Solanum lycopersicum: one gene and its partners. The protein of the gene in region 1 interacts with the protein of each later gene in a pairwise test. Links are inferred from orthologs where the notes say so. Each region holds a gene or a part of one and is shown on either strand. Other genes may lie near its edges.

Region 1 (2,214 bases):
GAAAAGATTATGTTATTATGACAGGCCAAGCTTGCTTGCTGAAGTTGCAGCTGCATCATGTCTTTTCATCAATAAAACATGGAATTTCAACTCTAAGATGGGTCTTTGCCCCTATTGCATAAACGTTTGATAAGTATACCAAGTGCCCCTTCACTAATGAAGTAGATCTACTACTGCTTGGCTCTTACCAAACATAAAGAATTCTCTCTAATATGCTAAGCTTAAACCTCAATGATCCTTTCATTAGCAATTTAAACTTAATAAATCCCTTAACTAAAAGGTTGGGATACTTGAAAAGGCGGGGCTTTCTACTTAATACTGGGCAAGGATAAGCCTTGAGACATGGGCCTTGAACTTCCATTCTGTCCTTTAGTCTTTCTCCGGTTTGGAATTCATTGCATAAAAGATAGACAATGGACAACCACATTATTATCAATTGAGAGTCGATAAATGCCAGTGAGCTATAGATATTGACAATAGTAATGCTGAAAAGCAGTATGTTTTGCATCATCTAGCATTTGGTTCAACTAAATTTTTAGAAAGATTATGTTACAAGGAAAACAACTTGAAACCTTTAAAGGAATTCATGAGAGAATTTGCAAGATCATGTATAACTAGAGATCAAGAAATGCCATGAAAATTGCTAAATGGCCAAAAGTGATTTTGTTCGGTAGAATGGAGCCATTCTATCTGAACTAATATAAATACTTTTAATATAAGTATCTTGTAATGATCTCTGTTTCAGCTTCATCACATCCAAGAGGCAAAAATTTTCCCTTTTCCATGGAATAATTCTTTTGTTCTGTGGATAGAAATTTGTTGATTTAAAGGTATTGAGATTGTATTCTCTCTCTGTTCTGTTCCCACCACAGCTTTGCGTGCACCTCCCCGAACTTCTCCCGACTGTATGAATGTAGAGAAAGTTGTAAGAAAATGTCCAAAATGAATACAAATTTCAGCAAAATAGGTGCTCAGCCTTTTCAATCATGTCTTGAGTTCATTTACACAGTTGAGATTTTGAAATACCTGAATCTTACACGTCGTAGCTCTCTAGTGCCATCAACTAGTTGTCTGATGGTTATATACACACCAGGCTCATCTTGTTCTATCCATTCTGACTCCATTTCACTGGCATTACTTACAGAAAGTGAAGCTTCATCCCTAGAGTCTGTAGTTGTCCTTGACGCATCCATATATGACATATCCCCCTTTGGTAAACCAGTTGATCCAGATGGTTTATGGTAATTGCTTGGTGGCCAGTCCTTATTTGTTGCAGGGGTCATCATAGGGCTTTCTATCGCGGATCCAAGCCTCGAATAATTGGAATCTCTCTGAAGAAAAGAATCTCAGGTATATCAATCTCCAATCTATTATTTCCTTTAGATCTTTAAGCTATTATAATTGATCCTTTATCGAACTTGATGAGTTTAGAGTCGTTTGAATCAAGTAAATTTAGTGCTGTTATTGATTTTTAGGGCACAGAAGTATAACTTCTTGCTGGTAAAAAATAGAAGATGACTTGATGAGTAGAGCTGGCTAATTACTTGATCAGGGTAACAAGCTCATGAAGGGGAAACCGGTTAGCTAAATACAAAGTATTTCGGTAAATTTAGCAGATAACTGAGTTAATGTAAATCAAAGGAGAAAGAAAATTGTTATGCTTAGACAAATCAAATCTAACTGACTTACTCCGTCCTCAGACCTTCCAGGTGTGTTAAGAGCTTGTTTGTTGAATCTCTGAACATTGTAGAGCTCCATAATTCGGTCATAATTCTCACCCCACCATCTTTGAGCTTGCCATTTGTTGAACATATCCCGACTTCAAAAGAACCCAGGGATATTTATTGTCAGGACCATCAAAGGGTGTTTCAATAAGATACACATAACACTGATATTTTCAATAAGGATAGGAATAATACAGATAGCAAGTGGACAATTTGACAGCTTATCGGGCCACCTAGAAAGCTACATAACACGGATACTTTCAATAAAATAGGTCATCATTTCAGATGGCATTCAAAACACATCAACTAAGTAATAAGAATGGCACATGTAGTAAGTAAGATAATTGAAGGCTCAGTACTAAACAAGTGAAATATTTTAGTAGACATGACTCTTGAGGGAATAAAGAAAGGGGAAACTCAATAAGAATTCATGAATGAATGAAAGGGACTAAACATTGGCCTAGGATAAGATTAGGCAAAGAAGCTTTCA
Region 2 (4,136 bases), on another chromosome or scaffold:
TGAAGATACTTGTTTTAGTAGTTATTTTTTATGCTGATATTACAAGGCAAGAATGTGCAATTTTTCAAAAGAGAAGTAAAGCATAAAGGAAAAAATCCCACTAATAGTTAAAAGTCTACCCAATTAAAAACTATCATTCTAATAAAGTTGGAATTTATCCAATCTTGAAAATATATAAATGGCATTTAGGACGAGGGTAAAAAGTACTATTTTATTTTTGAATTTTAAATTTTATAATCAAGTGATAAACGATTAAAGCTCAATTATCCTGAGATATTAGTCTGATTACAGTTAATATATGTATAAAAAATATGCATCGTAAGATTATACAATTTTTTTAAAAATAATTCAAACTTCAATTTCAATTATATTAGCGATAGAAATTAAATCATAATCTAAAAGGATTTCCTTCGAATATAATTCAAATAAGGGGAAAAGGTGATGAATATGGATTATTAAAAGTTTAAAAGTATATAACAAAGCCAATAAATGTTACTTAGTAGCTTGTTTACACACGTTATTCGTAGCTTGGAAATATGCACAACTAAGTAGCTTCCTTTGAATTGCTTTGACCTTCAAGCAACACAAGTCAAACACGTCATTACTGAGAGATGATTTGATACGAGAATTAAATTATTTTAGACCAATTTATTTCATTGAGATCGGTATTAATTCATTTTGAAATTATTATAGTTATTTAGTTGTATAAATTTATTTCGCTATTTTTTATCTTATTTCGCGTACAAAACAACCTCTAACTCCTAATATTACATCCTCCGTTCATGTTTGACTTGATAAAATGTTGATAATGAATTAAAATACGTAAAAATAAAAGTAAAATATGCATAAAATATAAATTATTTTTTAAACTGAATAATTAAAAATAAATAAATATTTTTAACTTAATAATTGACATATAAATACGGATGATTCAATTTGAAGAAACAGTTGCTCTGATATTCATCAGAATTTTGTCACCTTTTTTTATTTTTATTTTAAAATTAAATGACATATGTTATTATAGTATTAAAAGATTAAGATTGAGTATGATTTCTTTTTTAAAATAGCCTTTACTAAAACTTAAGTTTCATAACAAATATGTCATATAATGTCAAAACTTGGAGCAATATGCAAAAATGTGATAAACAACTATTCTTGGGACAGTTTTTTTTGTACGTATATATATATTTTCAAGTCTCTTTATTCATCTTATCTTATCATATTATTGATTGATTGATAAACAATAATTGAAGTGATTCTATTTTTTCCATTGGCACATATGGTTTCAATTGGGTAACGTACCTGGAATTTATTGTATATTTCAAATTAGAATTTTGAATTTTTAAAATCGCAACCTATTTAATGAAAACATGCTTTTTCACTTGTATGAAATTCAGAGGCTCTGTCACACTCAAAATATTTGCAGAAAACAAAAAAATCAGCAGTAATAATAAATTCAATTTAATAATTAAAAAATAATTACTATTTTATAAATATCATATATTATCAATAATTAAAAGTAAGTATTAACAAAAATAGCAGTAAAATATTAATATTATAAGTTATAATAGTCAATGATTAAAAACTAGTGTATATTATTACTGTGCATTTAATAAAATAAATAAGACAAATAAATTGAAACGAAATAATATTTTGTTTTTTGTTTTCGTAGTTTACCGAAGAAAAGAAGCAGCGTATATGATTACAATATAAGCGTTTACAAAAACAAGAAAAGGTGAAGATGAAGGAGAAAACAGAGTAAAATATAGAAAGAGAAAGAGAGAGAAAATCTTATGTATCAATTTCTTGACTAAGCTCTATTCTATTTCATTTGTTTGTTGTGAGTTTTGTTTGATTGATTCATTTACTCTGTTTGTATCCAAATATAATAATTAGTCACTCACTCTTTTTATTGTTACGATCGGATCTGAAAAAGGGAGAGGACCCAGAAAGAAAAAGGTGCAAAGCTGTTACCCTTTTTAAGTGGAAAGGGTCTCAATAATCATGGCACATCATTCATTTTTCTCCATTTGATAATCAGGTGATTTCAACAACCTATTACTCTCTCTGTCCACTTTTTTTTTTTTTGATTTATTTGTGGATATACATCTTTTCATTGATCCTTTTGGTGGAATTCTATGATCATTTAATTCTGTGATTTTACTGCAATTCTATGTAAAGTTTTGTAATCAATGCTACATTATGAGATGACCGAATCAATTTATGGTAAAATTATTCAAAATTTAGTTGAAAATTGTGAAATTTGAAAAAAAAAGTATTTAATTTTGTTTTCAAAATGGAAATTGGAGTTATATATGACCATGATATTGGTATTTTTCAAAAGTTGAATTTCGGATTTAAAGCCAAAAATGATCTCCAGAATTCAACTCCGGGAAAGAGTAAAAAGTATTCATGGTCAAACTGTTAAGTAGCTAATTTTTCTTCACTTTTAATTGTGTAATGACAGTGTTTATACCAAAAAATTACAATGGAGTCTCTTGTTGATGGAATCAGTTCCTTGCCGAACGTTCACAATTCATTCGCTGCGGTTGAGTGCAATACATCTTTGGCCTCCAAGATAAGTCATCCTCCTTTGATGAAACAATCCGAAAACAAAGAGGCATCTATCTCATATCCAATAGCGATGGACCTTGGTTCCACCGTAGCTCATACTCAAACTGGATCAGTGACTGGTTCAAAGCATTTTAAAGCAAATGAAGATACTGTAAATCAATCAGCAGAAGGTTGTTCAGGAGAACAGGTTTTGGCTTTGGAAACTGAATCATCTATCAAGGATTTACATCATGTTTCGAAAAATGGTACTTCAAACGATGATTTGAATGCGACTGCCAAAGACTCAGGAATCACCTACTGTCCTAGTCCTCAAAACAGTTTTTATTCTGCTACACAGTACACAGAAGCCAAACAAAGTTTTTCCAACACAGAAGTCAGTGAATGCGCTAGCAGCACTGTGGACAAGTCTGGTGAAAGTGGTGATGTTAGCAACTCTTGTGATCTTGTTGAGAGCAGAAAAACAAGCTTCTACAGAGGCAGCACAGGTAGTGACGTTAGTGATGAAAGCAGCTCTAGTAGTTTCAATAGCACAGTATATAAACCACATAAGGCAAATGATACAAGGTGGGATGCAATACAAGTTATTAGAGCCCGTGAGGGAACATTGGGTTTTAACCACTTTAGACTGTTGAAGAGATTGGGATGTGGTGATATAGGAAGTGTTTTTCTAGCAGAGTTGATTGGCACAAGATGTTTCTTTGCCATGAAAGTGATGGACAAGGCAGCTCTAGAAAGTCGCAAGAAACTCGTGAGAGCTCAAACGGAAAGAGAGATACTGCAGTCTCTGGATCATCCCTTTCTACCAACACTGTATTCGCACTTTGAAACAGATAAATTTTCGTGCTTGGTGATGGAATTCTGCCCTGGTGGAGATTTGCATGCACTTAGGCAAAAGCAGCCAGGAAAATTCTTCCCGGAGCATGCTGCCAGGTTAGTGTTTGTCCGCATATCATATTCACCTCTTTGCTTTGTGTTCAAAATATCCAACTATCGCTGCGATCTTAATGAATAAAGAACTTTTAACATTGCTTCCTGTATAAACCAATCTGTTACCATCATCGTTATGCTTTAAGTGTCTTAAAAGTTCATAATAGTGGAAATGACTTTAATCTATTATGCAAGGAAGATCCTGTGCATATATGCCTTCTTCTAACTGTCTCACCTCTTTAGGCATTGCGCTCAAACAATGATGAGTGAGATCCACTGCTCTGTGCTTATAGCTGTTGACTTTTTTTCCCCAGCTGTTTATTAGATCCGTATCTGTATGTTTGCCTTGATATCTCTTCAATTAAACATGTTGCTTATTTCCTAGCCTTTTGTAATTTTTCTCAACATTGAGTTCAGACCTTTCTTGTTGTGTGCAGTCCCAGTAGCAAATATTGTTTTCCAGTTGCATGCTCGTATTCATCACTGTCATTTGGAAACTGACTGGTATAATGTTCTAAAATTTTGTTAGCTGGGGCCAAGGGAATTGAATATAACCGAGTAGTTTGTTTCGTAGGAACCAAAGATAAGTCCATTCAGATAGACTTGAGACGTTACATCTACCGTAATCAATGATA
Region 3 (4,216 bases), on another chromosome or scaffold:
TATCTCAAAGAAACCCTTCTTGATTCTCACATTTCTTCAAGGTAAACTTCCAATTCAGGGTTTACTTTTTTTTTCCTGAAAATTTCTTCAAATTCTCAGAAAGTACAGTTATTGACAAATTGGGTGCTTTTATAGTGAGGCAAGCTTGGTGGGGTTTTTTCCTTTCATGGGTGTGACTTGGTCATTGTAAAAATCAATACACAGGAAAAAAATACATGATAACAAAAACACAAAACAGAATTTTTCAGCTCCATTTCTCAGAAATCATATGTATGACAAACCACACGCCAAAAGTGAGTAAATGAAGCAAATCAAAAAACATTATCGGCATAAATCGAGAATTTTTTCAGTTGATTTCGATTTTTCAACATATTATCGGCATCATTCGAGAGAAAAGGAAGAAAGCTAATAAAAAAATAATCGAAAAAACTTACTTCAAGGTTTATCTTCACTTCAAATTGGAAGAAGAGGAAGAAGTTCAGCAGCTGCCAAGCGTGAAAAGGGAAAAATAGAAGAAAAGGGAAAAATGGAAGAAAGATATGTTAGGGTTATGTGGGTAATTTGGAGATTGTATAAAAATAATAAGGACAAAAAGGTAAAAATATGGTTAACTTAAAACAGCTTATAAACTAAAAAAAACCCTACCCCAACTTTTAACTTTTGGCTTAAAATAAGTTTTTTTTTAAAACTTAAAATAAGTTATTTTGAGTATTGCCAAACAACTAAATAAGTCAAAAACCAGCTTTTAAGTCAGTTTGACCAACTTTTAAGCTGAGCCAAACATACTCTAAATAATGGTATAAACGAGGAACATTTCTAATAAAAATTATGGCACGAATCACAGTGGATACTATTTTAACCTTACCCCGACTAGTATATACATAGACAAAAATGATATACAATGTTATGTATTTTTAATAATAACGTATTATACACGTTATGAAAAGAACTAAATGATTTTATGTTACAATAGCAAAACTTGATTATATAAAGAGAAGACATATAATGTCATTTATGTTAATGAAATACTTGATACACATAATTACTATAGAAACCATCCCATATCAATTACAATAATGTATTAGAATGATGAATTACATACAAATGTACATCTGCGGCATGGTACAAAAAACAAATTATGTGCTACAAAACATATTACTACTAACAAAGAAATTGACAATACAATTAATATTGATACATATTGATTAGGACAGAAATTATATTTAACACAACCAAGTAGTCTTACAACTTATAATGCATTCATAATTGGGTTCACGCGAGTTGTTTCCCTAATATGGTATAATATTATAGAATGTTATATTTAATTATTTTATTATATAATAATAATAATAATAATAATAATAATATGGATTAAATGTATTTTTATTTATACCTCCCGAAGAGAAAAGGGAAGAAAAAGAGAAGTGAAGGCAAACAAAGAGTTCCATACGGAGAAGAGAAGAGAAGAGAAGAGGAGACGAGAGGAGAGGAGAGGAGAGGAGAGGAAAAGCCAAACTGATTCATAGCTGTTGTGGCGATTTGTTGAGCTTTCTGAAATTGATTTCACTTTTCCTTAAAATCTGCCCTTCTCTGTCTCTTCTCAAATTGCATTTTTATGACCCTATTTATGTCCAGATTGATCGGTTTTTGAGGTGAATTGTGAAGTTCTAAAACCCCTTCAGGTGCACTTAGTTTTTGTTGCTTAAATTCATTTGGTTTTCTCGGTTTCTTTTCATTTTTTAAGACTATAACTTCCATGCTTATGTATTTGTACTTTTTTGCTCTTATTATTACAAGTTGGAAAACATGGGTGTTTGCTATTATTTTTTTATCAGAAGAAGAGTTAGCTCTATGTTGCTTGTACGTGTTTTTTTTTTTAAACAAAAATCTTACCTTTTGACTAATTCTAGTTCAATCAGTAAAATATTTTGATTTCTGTAACCTGTTGTTCAGATAAAATGTTGGTTTGCAAAGCTTTAAATTGATGTGAAGAATTTAAAGTTGACCAGAAAGATGCTCACTTGTTGATCAAATTTTTTGTTACTGTTCAATATTTTTAACAGGTAGTTTTAATTGACTGAAGTTGAGCTAATCAGACAAAATGGGAGTTCCAGCATTTTATAGGTGGTTGGCTGATCGATACCCACTCTCAATTGTGGACATGGTAGAGGAAGAGCCTAAAGATGATGTTCCGGTGGATATTTCAAAGCCAAACCCTAATGGCATGGAATTTGATAACTTGTACTTGGACATGAATGGCATCATTCATCCTTGTTTTCATCCTGAAGGAAAGGTGAACAAGTATTTCTTTTTGAAAGTTCTCCTATGAATTTATTTGGTATTTGATATACCAAATTCATCACGCTTATGCACAATGCATGTTTCAGTTGTTTGACATGTAATTTGTTAGTACTTATATAGCTTTTCTATGTTAAAAGGATGTTATTCTTTTGTGACTGTAATTTGTTTAACTTACTTTTAATGAAGGATAATGAGTATATATGTTAGTCATAGTATCTACATTAGAAGCTTTGAGTAAGCTATAAAATAATGTTATTTGGACAGCTGTCCATGTCATTACAAGAACACTCCCCTTTGTGCTGTACTTGTCAAAACTAATTAAGATCATTCAATTGAGTAAATTTTGGACCAGTAAACTGTCATCCAGATTCAATCTTCTTTTCTCCTGCCTAAGTATGTAGGGTTTGGGATAGGAGAAATAACAGAAGGACCTGCTTGTTTCCTCTTTCCTCTTGGAGGACTTTTGTTTCTATTGGAAGGTTATTGGAAAATGTCACTCAAATTCAAAGGACCATACTGGATCACTTTAAGTACACTTTCATTCTTTAAGGTTGGATTTTTCTAGCTGAAAGTCAAAATCCTAATGTTAGGTTTTGTTTGGGGGGGGGGGGAGGGGGCTGGGGAAGATAAAAAGGGGGTAATCAGGAGATATCAGCGATGGGAGCTGAATTATGTTCTGGTGGAGGCATCCACCAAAACTGACAGGATCATAGGTGAATGTATTCAAATAATTATGGCAAAATAGATGATTGGGGGAATTCATGTTATTTTTATAGGTAGAAGTGGGGGTATTGTAGTAATGTGGGATAAGATGGTGTGGAAAGGAGGTGATAGAAACAAACCAATGGTAGCCTGCAAGTTTGAAGGCATTAATCAGGTTTCTTTTAGTTGTGTATGCCTCTTGTGATCCAATAATTAGAAGAGAACTTTGGAAAGGGTCAATCAACATCAAAGAAGAGAGTATTGGGCCTTGGATAGCTTGTGGGGATGTCAATGCCAAAAGATACCCATATGAAAAGACCAGAAGGGCACGTAATGACTCAATGATTGAATTCTCCAAGTGGAACAATGAGATGGAGTTCATTGGCCCTTCTTTATTTGGGGGGTCCTTTACACAGTGAAGAGGGGACAATCCCATGTCAACCTCCGAAATTGGTAGGTTCATGTTCTCTTCCCCATGGGATGATACCTTCACACAGATTATACAAAGCCTACTTCCCACAGTAGGTTTAGACTACAATCCAATTATAGTTGAATTTGGAGATTTAAATTTAAAGCAATCTTACTTCAAGTTTGAACAATGGTGGTTTAGGGTGGAAGGTTTCTTAGGGTGGAAGGTTTCTTAGATAGTTAAAGAATGGTGGGCATCTTTCAATAGCACTGGTCCTAGCTTCCAAGATGAGAAAGCTCAAGGGAAGCTAAAGGAATGGAAACTGGAGTATAAAAATAATTGGAACCAAAGGAAGAAGGAAATTGTTAGAGCTTGTTTGGATTAAGCTTATTTTAAGTGCTTTTATGCCAAAATAACTTTTAAGCATGTTTGGAGTGTTTTAGGTGTATTGAAAAAGTGCTTATAAGCACTTGGTTTTATGCTAAAATGATAAAAATAAGCCAAAACCCATAAGTTAGAATTTCTAACTTGTGACTTCTGGCTTACAAGTCAAAAATCAAAAGTTAATCCAAACAAACTCTATATCAATTATCAGATTTTGAAAAGCCTTATGAGTTGAGATTAGAGGATGAGTTACTCCAAAGACTACATCTTTCCAAAGAGTTTGAAGACGTCTTGAAAAATGAGGAAATAATTTAGAGATAGAGGTCCAGAGTGTACGACTGAAACATGGAGATCCAAAAAAATTACATCTTCCCATAGAGTTTGAAGATGTCTCAAAAAATTACGAAATGATTTAGAGGT
Region 4 (4,188 bases), on another chromosome or scaffold:
ATTAATTTTTAATTGTCATTAATAATTTTCTTTATTATAATAAATTTATCGTAGAACTAAATAACTTAGAAAAACTGTGAATATATATTCCTTAATGATGATTGAGTGAAACATTTCTATTGGAAAATATTATACATCTATTGTCTTGATATTAAAAATTGAACATGAGTATTTTTACTCATTAAGAGGTATGCCCAGAAATCAGAATTGGATATTGCACCATACATGGCACAAACACGATATTTTTGGATTATGCTAATTTTACATTTACGTGTATCCACTAATTTTCCCTTTTAGATTTTATATACGTATTAAAACAATTCATCAATTAAACATCTATAGAAAATTAATTTGTGGACTCAATTATTGTATTATTATTTTCTTGGTTTTAATTTACCTCATGTACTTTCTTTTCTAGTAGGTCACAAAAGATAGTATCCATTTTATATTTAGTATCAATTTAATTTAAATATTTATTTTAATTCAAATGAAATAATTTAAATCTATTTGGTATCTAAGATAACATTTTCCACAAACCATTTTCTTATTTTCATATGTTTGGTTAGACAAATTTTTTTAAAAACATTTTCTTTTAGAAATCAAATTGCTTAAAAATTATGAAAATGACTTCCTTAATGATAATAGAAAAAATAAGTTCTATGAATAATATTCTACGTTTATTATATGTTCCCCATCCTCCCAATTCCCCAACTCCCTACCCCTTGACCATTCCACCCCATTCACGATAATGACTTCCTTAATGAAAGTAAATTACATCTAAATATTTTTTATGATATTTTTTTACTTACAAAACACTAAATCATTTTCTTATGTAAATTATTTCCAAGTACCAAACACATTACACAATGACACAATTATTCTGACTTTATTTTAAATAATAATTTTCAAAATTCTTTTTTTTTCTAAAAAAACTTTTTAAACTTTAACCCAAAAAATCAACCCTTCTGGAAGAAAATTGTCCGTGACAATATTTTTTTCCACATATATATATATACTCCCTCTGTTCTCATTTAGTTGTCCACTTTAGAAGTGATGGACATATTAAGGCATCAATTATTATCATAGGTTAGTTATAATTTTATCGTTAATTTAAAAAATTATGTAACGTATTTTCTGGTTCCAAAAAGTATGCATTACAACTTAATAGTAATAAAAATAGTAATAGAAATTTTCTAAAATTAAATAAGGACATATTAGGTAAAAAATTCTTGTTCTTTCTTGATCTGTTAAAATAGACAAGTAAATAGAAATCAAATATAAAATGAAATATAAATAGGGACGGAGGGAATATATAATATTTGATCTTACATTCCTTATAGCGTTTACCAGTTGACCAAATATATAAATATATATATATATATATATATATATATATATATATATTTCCATTTCCAATATATGTTGGTGAAAGAAAAAAAAAACATCATTCTACTTGAAAATGAAACCCCACACGGAGTACGAATACATGCAATTCACAAAATACATCCGATCCCTCAATAATTAATTCACCATCAACAACAACAACAAGTAATTGTTCAAAAGAAGAAAAAGTAGTTTGGAATATTAGAAGAAGAAAAAAAAAGTGAGAGGAATTAATGGAAAGGGGCAGTGAAGAAAGAAATCAGTTAAACAATTATAATTTACAAATATCCTCAGCCGCAGCAGCAACAAATAATATTCATCATGAATTGGGATTTATACACTTTGCAGATCATAACAACTTAACCTTCTTACCTCCTTCGTCACAATCTTCTCACTCTCTTCAAGCTGCCGCCGCCGCCAGCGTAAGTGTTACGCCATCTGCCGCCGTCAATACAAACGCTGCTGCTGCTGCTGGTGCTGGTGGTCTAGGGTTTAGTCACAGTCAATTACTTGTGAATAGACCTTCTTGGAACAACAACGAACAGGTAAATTCGAATGATTCGTATATCTGTGCTGGTGAAAGATAACGTAGCAAAAGCGTTAGGGTTTCTCGATTTTCTTTCGTAATAATTTCTTCGTTTTTTTTTTTAAATTTTACGTGTAGGTGGAAACACTAGATCCCAAGGGTATTAATGACGAAAATTGCAGCGGTAATGCCAGTGAGGGTAACAATTCATGGTATTATTTTATTTCTCTATAACGTTTTTACTAATTTATTTTCAAAAAAATGTTACATCGATTCTCGCGCTATGAATTGCGGCTTGTTATGTTTTATTTCTTCTAACATTTTGATTTATTTTGGTTTTCACAAAAGGGGAAACGTTTTGATTAAATATCTTAATTTCTTCTTCTTCTTCAATTTCTTTTTAAAAATTATTAATCTCTCTATTTTATGTTTAATTTATTCCATTATATAATCTAAGAAATAATTAGATCGAAGCGTAACATATAGTGGAACAATAGAATTTTTATCACACTTAATTAGAGTTTAGACTCTTTGGGAATGATTTTCTCTTCCTAATATAGAGCACTTTTATAGTGCGATTTAATTAAACGAGGGTAAATTGAAGTTAGTCAGATTATGAATTTTTCATTACGAATATCAAAATTAATCGGACTAATGAGTTTCCGACAAAGACTTTGAAGGAAAAAAAAGTCTTCAACTTTTATTTTCAACTCCACTATTTAGTAGTACTACCTATCTAGAAGCTTCTCAATGATTTACATTAAAACCTGAAAAGAGATCTACCAAGGCATTCATGCAGATAGATTTTTGCTATCATGTTTTCTTGAAATGTCTCTCTTGCTCTTTAATAATGACACTATTTCAAAGTGTGTGTATGTATATAAATACTATGGTTTGTACTATATAATATGTGGTGTGGAGCTAGGGTGTTGTGCATTTTTGAGAAGGACAAGTGCTAACTAGATCCACTATACATATTATAATGCTCAACTATAAATATATTTGTACCCACATCATGATAAAATTCAACTCACATATGATAAGACTTGTTTAATTTATTTTGCTAGCACAAGTATATATAAATTTATATTGTTGTCATATAAGTTCATCAATTTATCATTTTACTAGCAAGCAACATTATTTCATTTCTAAATTATGTAAGGTGGAAGAGTTCATCTTCAGACAAAGGAAAAGTGAAGATAAGAAGAAAGCTAAGAGAACCAAGATTTTGTTTCCAAACAAGGAGTGACATTGATGTTCTTGATGATGGATATAAATGGAGAAAATATGGTCAGAAAGTTGTCAAGAATAGCCTTCATCCCAGGTACCTAATCATAATCAAGTACTCAGAGTCTGTACATCTGTCTTAATTTATATGACAACTTTAGATTTCGAAAGTTAAAATATGAAAATCTTTTACCACAATTTATTCTTCTTTTTCTAAAGTCAATTTTGACAACCGTGAATTATTTATATGCCATTGAGATATTTTAAATGGATACTTATTATATAGTTTCATAATATATAAATTTACTTTTCAAAAACATTATAATTGTATGTCTAAAATGTACAATCAAAATAAAAAAAAGTTCATCGATCCAAATTTAAACTGTATCGTAAAAATTAAGACAAAAAGAATCTGAATTTATTTTTTGGTTAAAAACAAAAATATTATAAATACTTGCTATGCATCATTAAAAGAATGTGTGATACTGTTAGCAATGAGTACTATTTTATCTTCCTCTGTGATTAGAAACGTTAAATAGGCCAGTTGGATTAGGTTTAAGAACGCTAATCAAATTTAGTTAATAAATAGATAGGTCATTTATCCACATAAATATTGTTTGAGCTAAAATAATCTAAAAGTTGAGTCATAACCCAACTTATGGCTCGATTCTTATTATTTTAAATTCAAAGTTAGTTTTCTTATGACTAGTGAGCACCTATTAAGTTTTCCTCCTAATATTATGACTATATAAATAAATCAAATAAAAAATTATTTTTTTAAAAAAATATTTAGATAAGATTTGTTATAGGTCAATTTAAATGACAAGCTAGCCTAATTTTAAAATGAATTTACTAAGTGAGTGAAAACAAATCCAATGAATAGAAAAAGAAACTATTAACATGTTTAAACATAAATAAATTGAATGAATTATAATTTTATGAATTATAAATCCAAATCGTGTTTCCCAAAAGTCCATATCAATTGAATTTAATAATTTTGTTTATACAATATACTTATATTAAGATCTCAATGAATATATATACATATTAAA
Region 5 (4,052 bases), on another chromosome or scaffold:
TGGTAACTCAATTTGACAATTCCATTTCGGCCTATATTTCTAGAACCAAATAGTATCTGTTATTGGCTACTCAAAAGTATGTTTAGTAGTAAGCAAAGATATTAAAAATCAATTTCATCCATTAATTTTTACCGGGACAAAAGCCCCTAAAATACTTAAGAGTTCAGTGATATCCTTAACAAACAATTGTGTTGCATCACCCTTATCAAAAGAAAATTCTCATCAAAAATTTGTTTTCCAAGATCAATTCTTTTAAAACCAGACCTACACTGTGTTCTGAATACCAAATGCAAATCATATCCTTCCGAAAAATCTTTAAGAGTTCATATCTTGATGAACACTCAAGTACCACAGGTTGAAAAACATATTTAAACAATTTGGTTGGAAATTGTTGAACAAGCTCAAACTGGTTTTTTTTTATGAAGTAACAAACTCAAATTGATTTTTGTTGCTTACCCAGACATTTAAAAAACCTTTTATTGATAAACATATGTTATAACAATACTATAAAGCATTGAGCATAAATTAGATGATAAGCATACCTCCCCCATCATAGAATCATCTTCATCCGCAGACTCATCAGTGCTCTCATCTTGATCTTCCGCCTTGTCAACTTTAGTAAACTCTATAACCCTCACCTTCTGCTTAGTTGAAGCAGAATCCTTTGCACTAGCCTTGGCTTCAGTCTTTCCTGTTAAACAGGTAGGCAATACTTTAGAACTAAGAAATAGCAGATCAAAGACACAAGTATATAATAAAATTTTATGTACCATTGTTTGCAATTGAAAGGGGTATTTCCTCATCAGACTCTGCACACAATAAAATATCAATTAAATCTTCGCCTAATTCATCACAGCTTAAATATGCTCAAACAGAAAATTTTGTGCTTACCATCTTCAACTTCATCTACATCCTCCTCAGTATCACACACAATTGTAGTCAAGGAAACAAAAAGAACTTGAAAAGTTCACCTCTTTTAAATGGAAAGGAAGGGAGCAGTAGAAACTAGAAAGATAGGAAAGTTCATGTGAACAAAAGATAGAAGATAACAAACAACAGAAAAGGATATTCCTCGAATGGGTTGGCAGCCTTGTATCCAAAAAAGTAGACGCTACCATTTTTCCAGTTGTGTGATAGTTCAAAGTCTCTATCAAAAACCAGGTCAAATTGTTGTTGAGGCAGCTTATCTAAGCTGAGTGTGCCAAGAACAAGCTTCTTGCCATCAATAGTTACAGACAAGCATACAGGTTCTGATGCTTTATCCTTTTTCACCTCACCAAGAGATGCCTAAAAAAAAGAATACATTGATAAAAATACTAAAAAGAGATGCCAACAAGGTATTTGGCTATTGCAAATATTTGCCTATCAAATTCAAGTGACAACTTAACACACCTGTGAAAGATGCAAAACCATGTCATCTCCCGGCTGTACAGATAAAGGTTGTCCACTTTTCACCTCCGCACCTAAATGTAAGAAAATTTAAAACAACTGCCAAATATTATTCCAATATAAAGTGGGCATCAAACACACTAATACACAATGGATGAAAAATCAACAGCCGAGCACACATAACAGAAACGATATTTTTTACAAGACAATTATTACAAAATAGTTTAGGCACAAAAGTACATTCAAATTGTATATGAGACCCAACAGAACTTCTGACGCATGGGTTCTTGAGCTATAATAATATCCAAAAGACATGTGGTCATCAAAGTAAAGCATATGAAGGTAACTCCAAATATTAAAATTAGAAATTGAGCCTTTATCACATCAAACACTTGAAAAATCATTTCCGCGGTTCCAAGTAAATCCCTGATTCTGAAAGAGCTAAATCAAATACCCTACTCTACTCTCCTATACAGAGGAACAGAAAATGAACACAAAGAGTGATGAGAGAATCTATGGCCAGTTGGAAACACTACAGAGCCATTTTTTAACTGTCAACACTAAAGAACCATATCCAAAGCAGAGTGTAATCGTATATAGGCAGCATTGCACTTCAACACAAACATTTTCTAGTTATTTCCCTCTCACTCTCTAGTCTCTACCATGGCAATGCTGAAAAATACATTGTCTGGGATTCTGTCACAAAACAGTACAACAACAACAACAATGTACCAAGTGTAATCACACAAGTAGGGTACGGGAAGGATGGTGAGCAGCATTATCACTACCTTGTGCACAAAGAGAGGCTGCTTCGATAAATACATCTATCATAACAATAACATAACTAGAGTGTACGCAGACCTTAACCAACAACTAAGAAGTAACCAACAACTAAGAAGGTAGAGACGTTGTTTCCAATAACTACAGCTATCACAAAACAGTAAATAACAAAAACAAAATGAAACATAACTTAAGTTTGATCTCAAATTGACGAGCTGTGAAATTTGCATACATGTGTACAAATTCAGGCATTCAGTCATAATATACTGCAGACGTGTTTGATCAGAATCACATAAACATCGAAATCATAATAAACAATGAAAATTGAAACAGCGAAATAAATAAGCAATAAATACAGCATGTAACACCACGAAACAAAACATTTAACAAACAGTCATCGAGCAATACAGATTATCAAAACAATCAAATGATAAACAGAGAAAAACCAAATAGATTGAAATACAGATAATTTACCCCAAAATTCCATTGCTGATTACGCAGAAGATAGGAGAAACAAACTAGGGTTTTAGTAGAGAGCGAGCAATGGAAGCAAATTTTTAGGTTTGCAAGCGGGAGAATTGAGAGAGAGAGGGGCTATTATATACTATGTTTATTGTTTCCCATGCTACCCTCGTGTGCATTATTGGTATATTAATACTGCTCATTTGAAAAAAAAAATATTATAGTAAAATAAAATTGTGTTTGTATACGTATAATTTAAAAAATTGTTAGAAATTTGACAATTTTAAAATTGGATCAAAAATCAAATATTTGAATGTATAAAATTTTAGATATATTGCATATGTTTTGATTGTTCTATCACAATGTACAAAATTATTAGGAGATCATTGATTATGTCGATATTATCTAATGATTTATTGTGAATATATTTAAATTTTAGTATAAGAAAATATGTTTAAAGCCTAAAAAAATCTATTTATAAAATGATGCAAATTAATTGTCCGGTATATTGTTAATTTAAAATATAACTTTAGTTACTATATTTTTAAAATGACATTGAAACAGTAGTCATGCATCAATCCAATCTAGAAAGTATATTGTTAAAATCAATAATTCTAACACATTTAATAGTTATATAGTCTTTTTTAATAAAGATAAAACTTCAAGCAGTATTGTATGAGAAGACACATTTAATAGTTATAGTCTTTTTTTCTAAAAGATAAAACTTCAAGCAATATTGTATAAGAAGATAAATCTCGTATAACTCAATGCATGAGATGAAGTTAAAAAATAAAACAGAAACATTATGAGCAAAATATAAAAAACCTACAAAAATTAAATAAAATAGTATTTAAAAAAAATGTGTGTAAAAAGTTGAAATATACGATAATTTCATATGGTGAGTGTATGCTAAACAAGATAATTAGGTTGGTATAATATGAAGTTATATAAATTTATCATGCTTTATAATTTAAAATCATGTCGATTCGATATAATATGAAATTCTATTATCTAAAATAATATTTGTGTCACATTTATAAAAAAAAAGTTTGTTGCTTGTAACATTGAAATCATAAAAAATTATATAAATTGTGAATACTCACTCCAACAAGACAATTATTGTGAATATAACACAAAATCAAGTCAATCTTAATTGTTATTGTTTACAAATTTTAAATTCGGTTTCTATTATTAATATCAATAAACTTTAAAAATTTTCTCATTAAAAAGTCATTAAATTTTAAAATATCAATTTCCTCCAAATATTAAAATCAAAAATAATATTTAAATTTTAATTTTAATAACATCACATAAGTACCAATCACCCCAACAAATTTAACATCTTTAAAATTTTATTTATTCTGAATAAAGAGACGATATAAATTATTTAGGCCAAATAAGATTAAAAAAAAACTTGATAG
Region 6 (4,190 bases), on another chromosome or scaffold:
ACCTTTTAGTACTAAAGATTAAAGAGCAAATAATACAAATTTCACTAGTTTAGGATTGTATTATATGCCTTCACTTTAATTTTTGAAATTACCTTTCATACTATATTTATTTCGAAAGATACAGATACCTCAAATACATGTGAGTCAAAATAGGTATAATTATGCACTGCATTTAAACATGATTCACATGTATCTAGGCTATAATGTCTCCTCACTCGCCTCTCTTTTTGTGTATCTGTATTTCAAAATGTATTTGGTATCAAATATACATGTTAACTCTCTCGCTCAAGTCTCTTCTCTCTTGTTTGTCTCCCTCATATATATTTGTATTATATATATATATATATATATATTATATATATATATATATATATATATATATATATGATTATTTTATACATATTTGTGTGTGATTTAATGATACATGTTTCTTTTGGTACATATATATCTGACTTGAAATCTAAAGGAGTGGTCTATCTGTCTTGAAACTAAATATGGAATTATTAATTTCTAGACAATATGTAATTATTTCAAATTATAGAGTGAATAAGTTTTTATAGTAGGATTTTTTTTTTAATTAGATAGTTTTTCTAAGATTAAAGTATATACTAATAAGGGCAACTTTCACATATAGCAAACAAAAAATTCATATTTGTATGCTATAGCAAACTTTGCATAATTGCGCTACATAGCAAACATAAAACTGTTTAATTTGCTATACATATACAATTGTATAATTCGCTGGCCTAAATTGCATAATTCGCTGGCCTAAATTGTATAATTCGCTGTCCTATTTCGCTGCAATTGTATAATTTATTTTGCATACGGTTGAATCGAATTAAAATGTATGTATATTGCATAATTATAAGTGTATAGCAAGAAGATATATGTTTTTCTCGCTTTATACAAAAACACAAACACAATATATACACTTCTGTTGTATAAAGCTAGAGAAAATTGTATTTCACTGCAATTGTATAATTCGTTGGCCTTTTTCTCTGCAATATTTGAAGTAAAATGTTTGTAAATTATATATTAAGTGTATAACACGAAGATATACATTTTTGCATGTGTATATACTATTTTCTCTCGCTTTATACAAAACAGAAACAAAATTATACACTTCTGTGTATAAAGCGAGAGAGGCGAGCGAGAATGGAGAGTGGCGAGCGAGATTTTTGGAAGAGAGATGCTGACAAATTTTAGCTAATGTTTGCTATGGAGCACAATTAAATCAAACCATAGCTATTCCATTTAATTTAGGTTATTAGTTTGATTTAAATTCAAATAAACACATTGGGCTCATGAGTCAATGATGTAAGGAAGGCCCAGCCCATTTATTTATTTTTTCGCATCATCCATATGACCAATTTAGTAACCGAATTAGACCGACTCGCTTGATCTGCTTCTTCCTCCTCATTTCGCTGGTTCTTCCTAAGGTATGAGATTTTTCTTGTCTGTTTCAATGGAATATCCTATAACTGGTGAATTTTTTTTGTGTATGTATATATATATCCATCATTCTCAGAGCATTGCAAGGTGGTAGACTAGAAGAAACCTTATTGTAATTGTATGACGAGTGCTTCAGAGCTATTTTTCACTAGGAGGTCTCGTTACGGTCGAAGCGATCTCGAATTAGGGTCGGATTTATCGACAATTCGAAATTCTCACAACCACAGCGTTCGTAATCGCCGCCATCATCATCACAGTCACCAGCCAACCGGCAATAATACCCGCCGTGATCGCGTCGATGTGAACGATTGTGAGCCCTTGCGCCGATCTCCTCCTCACCGCCTTAGACGTTGGCCTCCTGTAAGATTTTGGATTTTTTTTTTTGGTGTGTAGACTGTAGAATGATAATATTAAAAAATTAGGTGCTGCTTTATCTGTTGTGTTGTGCTGGCATATTATATTCAAGCTTTTGAGTCACATTGATCAACATGCATATATTAAATACTAGAATTGTTAATTAGCTGAATCCAATTGTCATTTCACTGGATTCTTTCCTTTTTTATTTTCCGATTGTCATTTTATAGCTATAATTTCTTGCCTGGGTTAGTTAAAGCAAGGAAAGGATGAAAACATGAAATATGATACAGGGGTAGTGAATGTAGATAGTAATATAAATTGGTTCACAGCATTCTTGTATAATACTACAATATTTTTTCAAACGGGAGACTTACGAATCTTTTAGATTGTGCCACAATCAGATATGGACGTTTAATTGACATAGTACCTGCCTTATCACACTCAACACCTATGATGATTATATGGATGATGGACTTGTGGGTTGCAGGATAACATTATCTGGATTTGTTGTTCTTGATTATTAGTCTTGCATTACGTTAATCCAACATTTTCTTGCTGTAAATGTTAGAGTCTTATTTGGCTGGCATATATATCTGCACCTGTTCCCGTATTAGTATGGACTATGTACAATGCCATTAAAATACTAACTTTCCTCTACTGATCATGATAAGAAGTTTGTTCTGTTTCCTGGTTAATTATTGCCTGTTCTTTTGCTATTTATCAGTAAACCAATCAACTACATTAAATACAAACTAGTTAGAGTTGGGCAGTTCTATGCATCTGCTTTGAGTCCGTCGCTTAGTAGTACTCAGTAGTCTGGCTTGTAAGAAAGTTAAGGGTTCTATTTTCATTCTTATCGTTACACTACATACAAATCTCTAGTCATGCTAAAACAAATCCTGGCAAACATGGGATATGCCGTAAATGTATCGATAATGATAAAGCTTTTGTGCAATTTCATAGTTACTTCTTCTAATTTTTTGAACCTACCAAAAATAATACTCAACAATTAGGCTGAAATCTCAAATATGTCTTATATGGATCTTTTTTCATCATTAGTTATCACAAAAGAGATTTGCTCCATTCCCAATTAATTCCTGCCATTGGTGGCAATATTTTGAGGTCATTATTGCCATGTGGTGTGCCATTTTGAGATTAAGTCCCCTGTTGCATGAGTCGAGCAAATGTGTTGTGACAGCTTACTTTTGCCAGCCCCGGTGTGGTTTAGCTGTATGAATTTCCGAGACAATGGTTGTTTCCTAGCCCAAGTGTTGGCCATTGTATTCTGGATTACCCTGATTATAAGGTGCTTAAAGTATGACTCCTGTATATTTAATATAGTGCTGCATGTACTTCTCTATGTATGTGATACATCTTTACGTCCCCCCTCAAACAATTTATTAATCAGCTTTGATGTTCACTTATAAGATGGTACAAGCATGTACTTGGTGCTCTTGTAATCGATTGATAGATTACTTTTATTTAGCTCATTCATTTTTGTTGTTACATTTCATTGCTTCGTGTTTAGTGTCATATATTGCTGATTTGATGGTCAAAAATGTCGTAGGATGTGAGTTATAAATTCTTAACACCTAGTTTTTCTGGTCGATTTCAATTCTTTGATGGTGACCTGAAACATTGATGCTAATTATTTTGGTCCTTTTTCACAAGTTAGGATCGTGATTCTGTTTCGCTCGACTCTGCGAATAGCCAGGCTGCATCAGGAGACACCAATCATGCAACAAACAACAATAACAGGATACGAGATAGGGTGGGAACCTCAGGTAGCGAGCGGCTCCCTGGTACTGTACTACTTGCAAGGGAAAGACTTCTACAGAGATTGAGAGGTGTATCTATATCTGGAAATAGGTTGGTATTTTGAATCCATTATACCCAATAGTATGAGCTTCTCTTGGCAGGCCATTGTAGTTTATGATATTGCATGTCCACAATTCCTTCGATTAAATAAATACGGAGATGGGTAAGAGTACATTTCTAAGTGGGTAAATTTCTGATGAAGCATACATGAAATTGCTTGGTCTTGATGAACTTTGAGCTGTCTGATTAAAATGAACATATGTTTAGATGAAAATTACTGGATATGTTAGTTTCCTGTAGTGAATGGACTTTCATCATAGGATTATTAAGATATGTTGCTCCTATACATTGTTGAGTGGTTTGTAAGAAGTTTAGTTGATTTTGCTGACCCTTCCTCCTCTATGGTCCTCCTCATTGTAGAAGTTAAACGACATGTTTTAGGATGTCAATTTCCCAGCAGTCTTACAAGTCTTATGTTTTCTATTATGGTTTTCTTGTTAGCATGATATCTCACTAGTCTTCGTAAGTTGCTCTGGTGGTTATTACAATATGATTAAAATTCT
Region 7 (3,076 bases), on another chromosome or scaffold:
TAAGATATGTAGCAAAATTTATCTTTTATATCTATTTAGCAAAATTTACGATGTGTCATTTCTATAGCCTTATTATGGTTTTAGTTATAAAGTGTTCATATGTGGTAATATTTTAATCTGAATTCAAGTCTCACAAATATCTTTTATCATATCGAAAATACATATATAATATTATAAAGCTATACGTTACTGTTATTAATCATATTTCACAAGGTAGAATATGTCTTTCAAGCTACACACATTTTTCAACTTCATCAAAGCACTTCAATACAAAAGAAATTAAAATTAAAAAGGTACATAACAGAACAACTAATAAGTGAATAAATATTGAAACATTTACCAAGTTAAATTCAACATGGCACCAAAGCATATAGAGATTTTAGATTCAAAGTTTTATCTTCACTGTTCATTAGAATACGCAACTAGGTAGGGTTGCAATATAAGTTTAATATACAAAGTTATTATACTATATTTCTCATATTTCACAAGGGCATGATATATTTTTCAAGCTAGGATAATTAATTTTCACATTGATTCATCAAATTACAAGCACATCAACATTTTGCAACAAAAAATAGGTGCATTACAATTACAAATCAATTAAGTAAATTATAAAATCTACTAGCTAGTTAGCTCATATGAGCTGAGGATCTTTCGTAAACAATCTCTTTACCCCAGGGGTTAAAGATAGTATATGACATGTGTATGCTCTACCCTCGTCAAGCATAAGTACTCGTAGAACTACTCTGATATATGTTATCGACTTATCGTTGTTGTTGTTGCACTAGCTATCTTGCACTTTGTTTTATAAGTGGAGTGTGTCCAACAAATAAAGATACATGCCCCATAAGCTTATCTTTTCTTGAAAAAGTAGTACCACATGAACATTGCCATTTCAAATCACCACAATGTTTCTCATGAGTTCTAAGATCAGACAAAACAGAGAAACTCTTCTTGTTGCATCTCTTACACACATACATTTTAGGACAATGGCTTCTCTTGTAATGATTCTTCACACACACCATTGATTTCAATGGTTGAAACTTCGCGTGCTTCTTGTTCCACCTACAACCTTCTTGAGGACACGAATATTTAATCGTGTTACTACTTGATTTCAACGATCCATCACTCGTTAAATCGTTGATTCTCTTCATAGGATTACTCAATGCAGCACTAGATTTATATTCATCTCCATGAGCCCTCATATGCATTCTCAAATTTGCATCTCTTTTAAACCCTTTACCACAAATTTGACAATAGTGTGTATACTTTGCCAATAAATCAGATGCATCTAACTCAACAATATCATAATTATTTTCTTCATTCACAACTTTACCTTTTGAAGTACTCAATAATAATTCCTTTTTTCCAAATTCTTTACTATAGTAATTATCATGACTAATAGTACTACTAGCTATAATAGTACTACTACTAGTAACATGGTTTTTGTTATCTTCATGTGTGTTACAATTAGAATTGTAATTATCCACATACCAATCATAATCTTGTAGCAAATGATCAACTTGACCTTGACCTTGACCATGACCAACATCATTTTGAGATGGTTCGCGATATCTACTTGAATTTTGACTGAGTGAGGTAGAGTCGAGGACAATCTTTTGGCAAGAAAACATGAGGGAAGAAGAAGTTGTGATGATTTCTTGGATCAAAGTTCCCATATTCGCGATGATCATAGATATTGACTCAGGAGGAGGGTGAATAATCGTTTGATTATCCGGAGTAATGAACATGGTGGCAAGTGATTGAACTTGATGAACCTTCTCTTTGAGAAGAGATAAGTTGAATAAAAATGAATTTTGTTGATAAGAAGAAGAAGAAGAAGAAAATATATCTTCTTGAATATTATTATTAGGATGATGATTTGATGAATATAATGGTATGTTTTGTGGATTATTAGCACTACTACTTGTACCTTGAATCATTTTCAAGAAACCCTAAATTTTCTCTTAGAAAAAACACACACACACACTTTTTTTTCTTCAAAATTTTTGATCATATAACAAGGGGAAGAAAATAATGTAATTTTTTTTTTCTTTTTGTGACGTTTTGGTAATGAAAAAAATAATAAGTCAGAAAGAAATAGTGATATAAATGTAAGTCAACTTTGAGATTCAAATCATATGAAGTACCACTTAAGACCTCCCTCAAATACTACCATAGTCTTACATTAAGACAAAATTATTGTGAAAGGTGAAAGAGAAATTTTATAATCATATGTAAGGACATTAACTTTTTTTTTTTAATTTGATATTTGATATTTGTATTGGAGTCTGACTAAATCTGAATATACGTTTTGCAGTGTTCATTAATTATATATGGAGGTGGTGCTTCTAACGAAATTTTCTATCCCAAATTCAAACGTAAGGATTAAGAACAGAGAGATCTCAATCATTTCATCACCATAACGACCATGTTGGTAGAGACACAAACTTGTACATATTTAATTGTTATTTTTATAACATGTTTGGACATCAATTATGTGTTTGGTTTTATTAAAAAGATATATATATTTTTGTTCAAAGTATTAGTGTCAACCTTAGCTTCACGCATGAATTTGCAATTTTAATTAAAAGAGATTTATTTATTAAAATAGATATTATACTGACCATTTCCACATTTGTATTAATTATATTTGGGATTTAGGGCTGTCATATTTTTGGTTAAATTAAGTCAATCTTTTGGGAATGAAGAATCTAACCACAAAATGTCACTTTATTTAGGTAGGGATTATTGACATTTTTTTTAATGTGTTGTAATATTTTATGTCATAAGCAATATATCGATTAATACTTACTCGTATCGTATTGACTAATTACATTAAATTCATATAATTTATAATTTGGTTATTAGTGATTTAATAAAGTGCGTGTGCATATGAAAAATTTACCTAAATACACATTTTGTTTTACTATAATCTTTAAAATTTCTACCATTTAAAAAAAAATTCCCTGTCAATACATCAATCTTCTCCGATACTTTTCTCACCATGTATATATTCAGATGTCTGCTGATGTATCCGAAAGTTCAAAAATTTATCGGGATGTCCTATCTCCTC

Evidence for each region.
Region 2: the proteins of protein BREVIS RADIX (region 1) and serine/threonine-protein kinase D6PK interact in binary tests that used the Arabidopsis thaliana proteins (3 or more experiments, as listed by UniProt). The link is inferred for Solanum lycopersicum from reciprocal best matches to the Arabidopsis thaliana genes BRX and ATPK7.
Region 3: the proteins of protein BREVIS RADIX (region 1) and XRN4 interact in binary tests that used the Arabidopsis thaliana proteins (3 or more experiments, as listed by UniProt). The link is inferred for Solanum lycopersicum from reciprocal best matches to the Arabidopsis thaliana genes BRX and XRN4.
Region 4: the proteins of protein BREVIS RADIX (region 1) and probable WRKY transcription factor 12 interact in binary tests that used the Arabidopsis thaliana proteins (3 or more experiments, as listed by UniProt). The link is inferred for Solanum lycopersicum from reciprocal best matches to the Arabidopsis thaliana genes BRX and WRKY12.
Region 5: the proteins of protein BREVIS RADIX (region 1) and histone deacetylase HDT1 interact in binary tests that used the Arabidopsis thaliana proteins (3 or more experiments, as listed by UniProt). The link is inferred for Solanum lycopersicum from reciprocal best matches to the Arabidopsis thaliana genes BRX and HD2C.
Region 6: the proteins of protein BREVIS RADIX (region 1) and RING-H2 finger protein interact in binary tests that used the Arabidopsis thaliana proteins (3 or more experiments, as listed by UniProt). The link is inferred for Solanum lycopersicum from reciprocal best matches to the Arabidopsis thaliana genes BRX and AT1G49850.
Region 7: the proteins of protein BREVIS RADIX (region 1) and protein SENSITIVE TO PROTON RHIZOTOXICITY 2 interact in binary tests that used the Arabidopsis thaliana proteins (3 or more experiments, as listed by UniProt). The link is inferred for Solanum lycopersicum from reciprocal best matches to the Arabidopsis thaliana genes BRX and AT5G22890.

Annotation. Positions count from the first base shown.
Region 1 is NC_090807.1:62,143,750-62,145,963, forward strand, and holds the end of protein BREVIS RADIX, read right to left. Parts: intron 1,820-2,214; coding exon 1,690-1,819; intron 1,332-1,689; coding exon 1,027-1,331; intron 904-1,026; coding exon 825-903; 3' UTR 501-824; downstream 1-500. UniProt on the Arabidopsis thaliana protein: Acts as a regulator of cell proliferation and elongation in the root and shoot. Regulates roots architecture and primary root protophloem differentiation.
Region 2 is NC_090801.1:70,586,936-70,591,071, forward strand, and holds the start of serine/threonine-protein kinase D6PK, read left to right. Parts: upstream 1-1,336; 5' UTR 1,337-2,041; intron 2,042-2,467; 5' UTR 2,468-2,488; coding exon 2,489-3,504; intron 3,505-4,136. UniProt on the Arabidopsis thaliana protein: Protein kinase that regulates the auxin transport activity of PIN auxin efflux facilitators by direct phosphorylation. D6PK-mediated PIN phosphorylation promotes auxin transport in the hypocotyl and this is a prerequisite for PHOT1-dependent hypocotyl bending.
Region 3 is NC_090803.1:40,188,037-40,192,252, reverse strand, and holds the start of XRN4 (protein ETHYLENE-INSENSITIVE5), read left to right. Parts: upstream 1-1,416; 5' UTR 1,417-1,682; intron 1,683-2,063; 5' UTR 2,064-2,101; coding exon 2,102-2,293; intron 2,294-4,216.
Region 4 is NC_090800.1:79,427,830-79,432,017, reverse strand, and holds the start of probable WRKY transcription factor 12, read left to right. Parts: upstream 1-1,388; 5' UTR 1,389-1,616; coding exon 1,617-1,928; intron 1,929-2,047; coding exon 2,048-2,121; intron 2,122-3,071; coding exon 3,072-3,233; intron 3,234-4,188. UniProt on the Arabidopsis thaliana protein: Transcription factor. Interacts specifically with the W box (5'-(T)TGAC[CT]-3'), a frequently occurring elicitor-responsive cis-acting element.
Region 5 is NC_090809.1:63,872,713-63,876,764, forward strand, and holds the start of histone deacetylase HDT1, read right to left. Parts: upstream 2,801-4,052; 5' UTR 2,657-2,800; coding exon 2,644-2,656; intron 1,464-2,643; coding exon 1,393-1,463; intron 1,288-1,392; coding exon 1,070-1,287; intron 921-1,069; coding exon 892-920; intron 810-891; coding exon 771-809; intron 692-770; coding exon 543-691; intron 1-542. UniProt on the Arabidopsis thaliana protein: Probably mediates the deacetylation of lysine residues on the N-terminal part of the core histones (H2A, H2B, H3 and H4).
Region 6 is NC_090800.1:90,933,205-90,937,394, forward strand, and holds the start of RING-H2 finger protein, read left to right. Parts: upstream 1-1,390; 5' UTR 1,391-1,439; exon of another isoform or gene 1,440-1,528; 5' UTR 1,529-1,572; coding exon 1,573-1,812; intron 1,813-3,484; coding exon 3,485-3,678; intron 3,679-4,190. UniProt on the Arabidopsis thaliana protein: Probable E3 ubiquitin-protein ligase that may possess E3 ubiquitin ligase activity in vitro.
Region 7 is NC_090810.1:57,597,878-57,600,953, reverse strand, and holds protein SENSITIVE TO PROTON RHIZOTOXICITY 2, read right to left. Parts: upstream 1,944-3,076; coding exon 789-1,943; 3' UTR 501-788; downstream 1-500. UniProt on the Arabidopsis thaliana protein: Probable transcription factor. Together with STOP1, plays a critical role in tolerance to major stress factors in acid soils such as proton H(+) and aluminum ion Al(3+). Required for the expression of genes in response to acidic stress (e.g.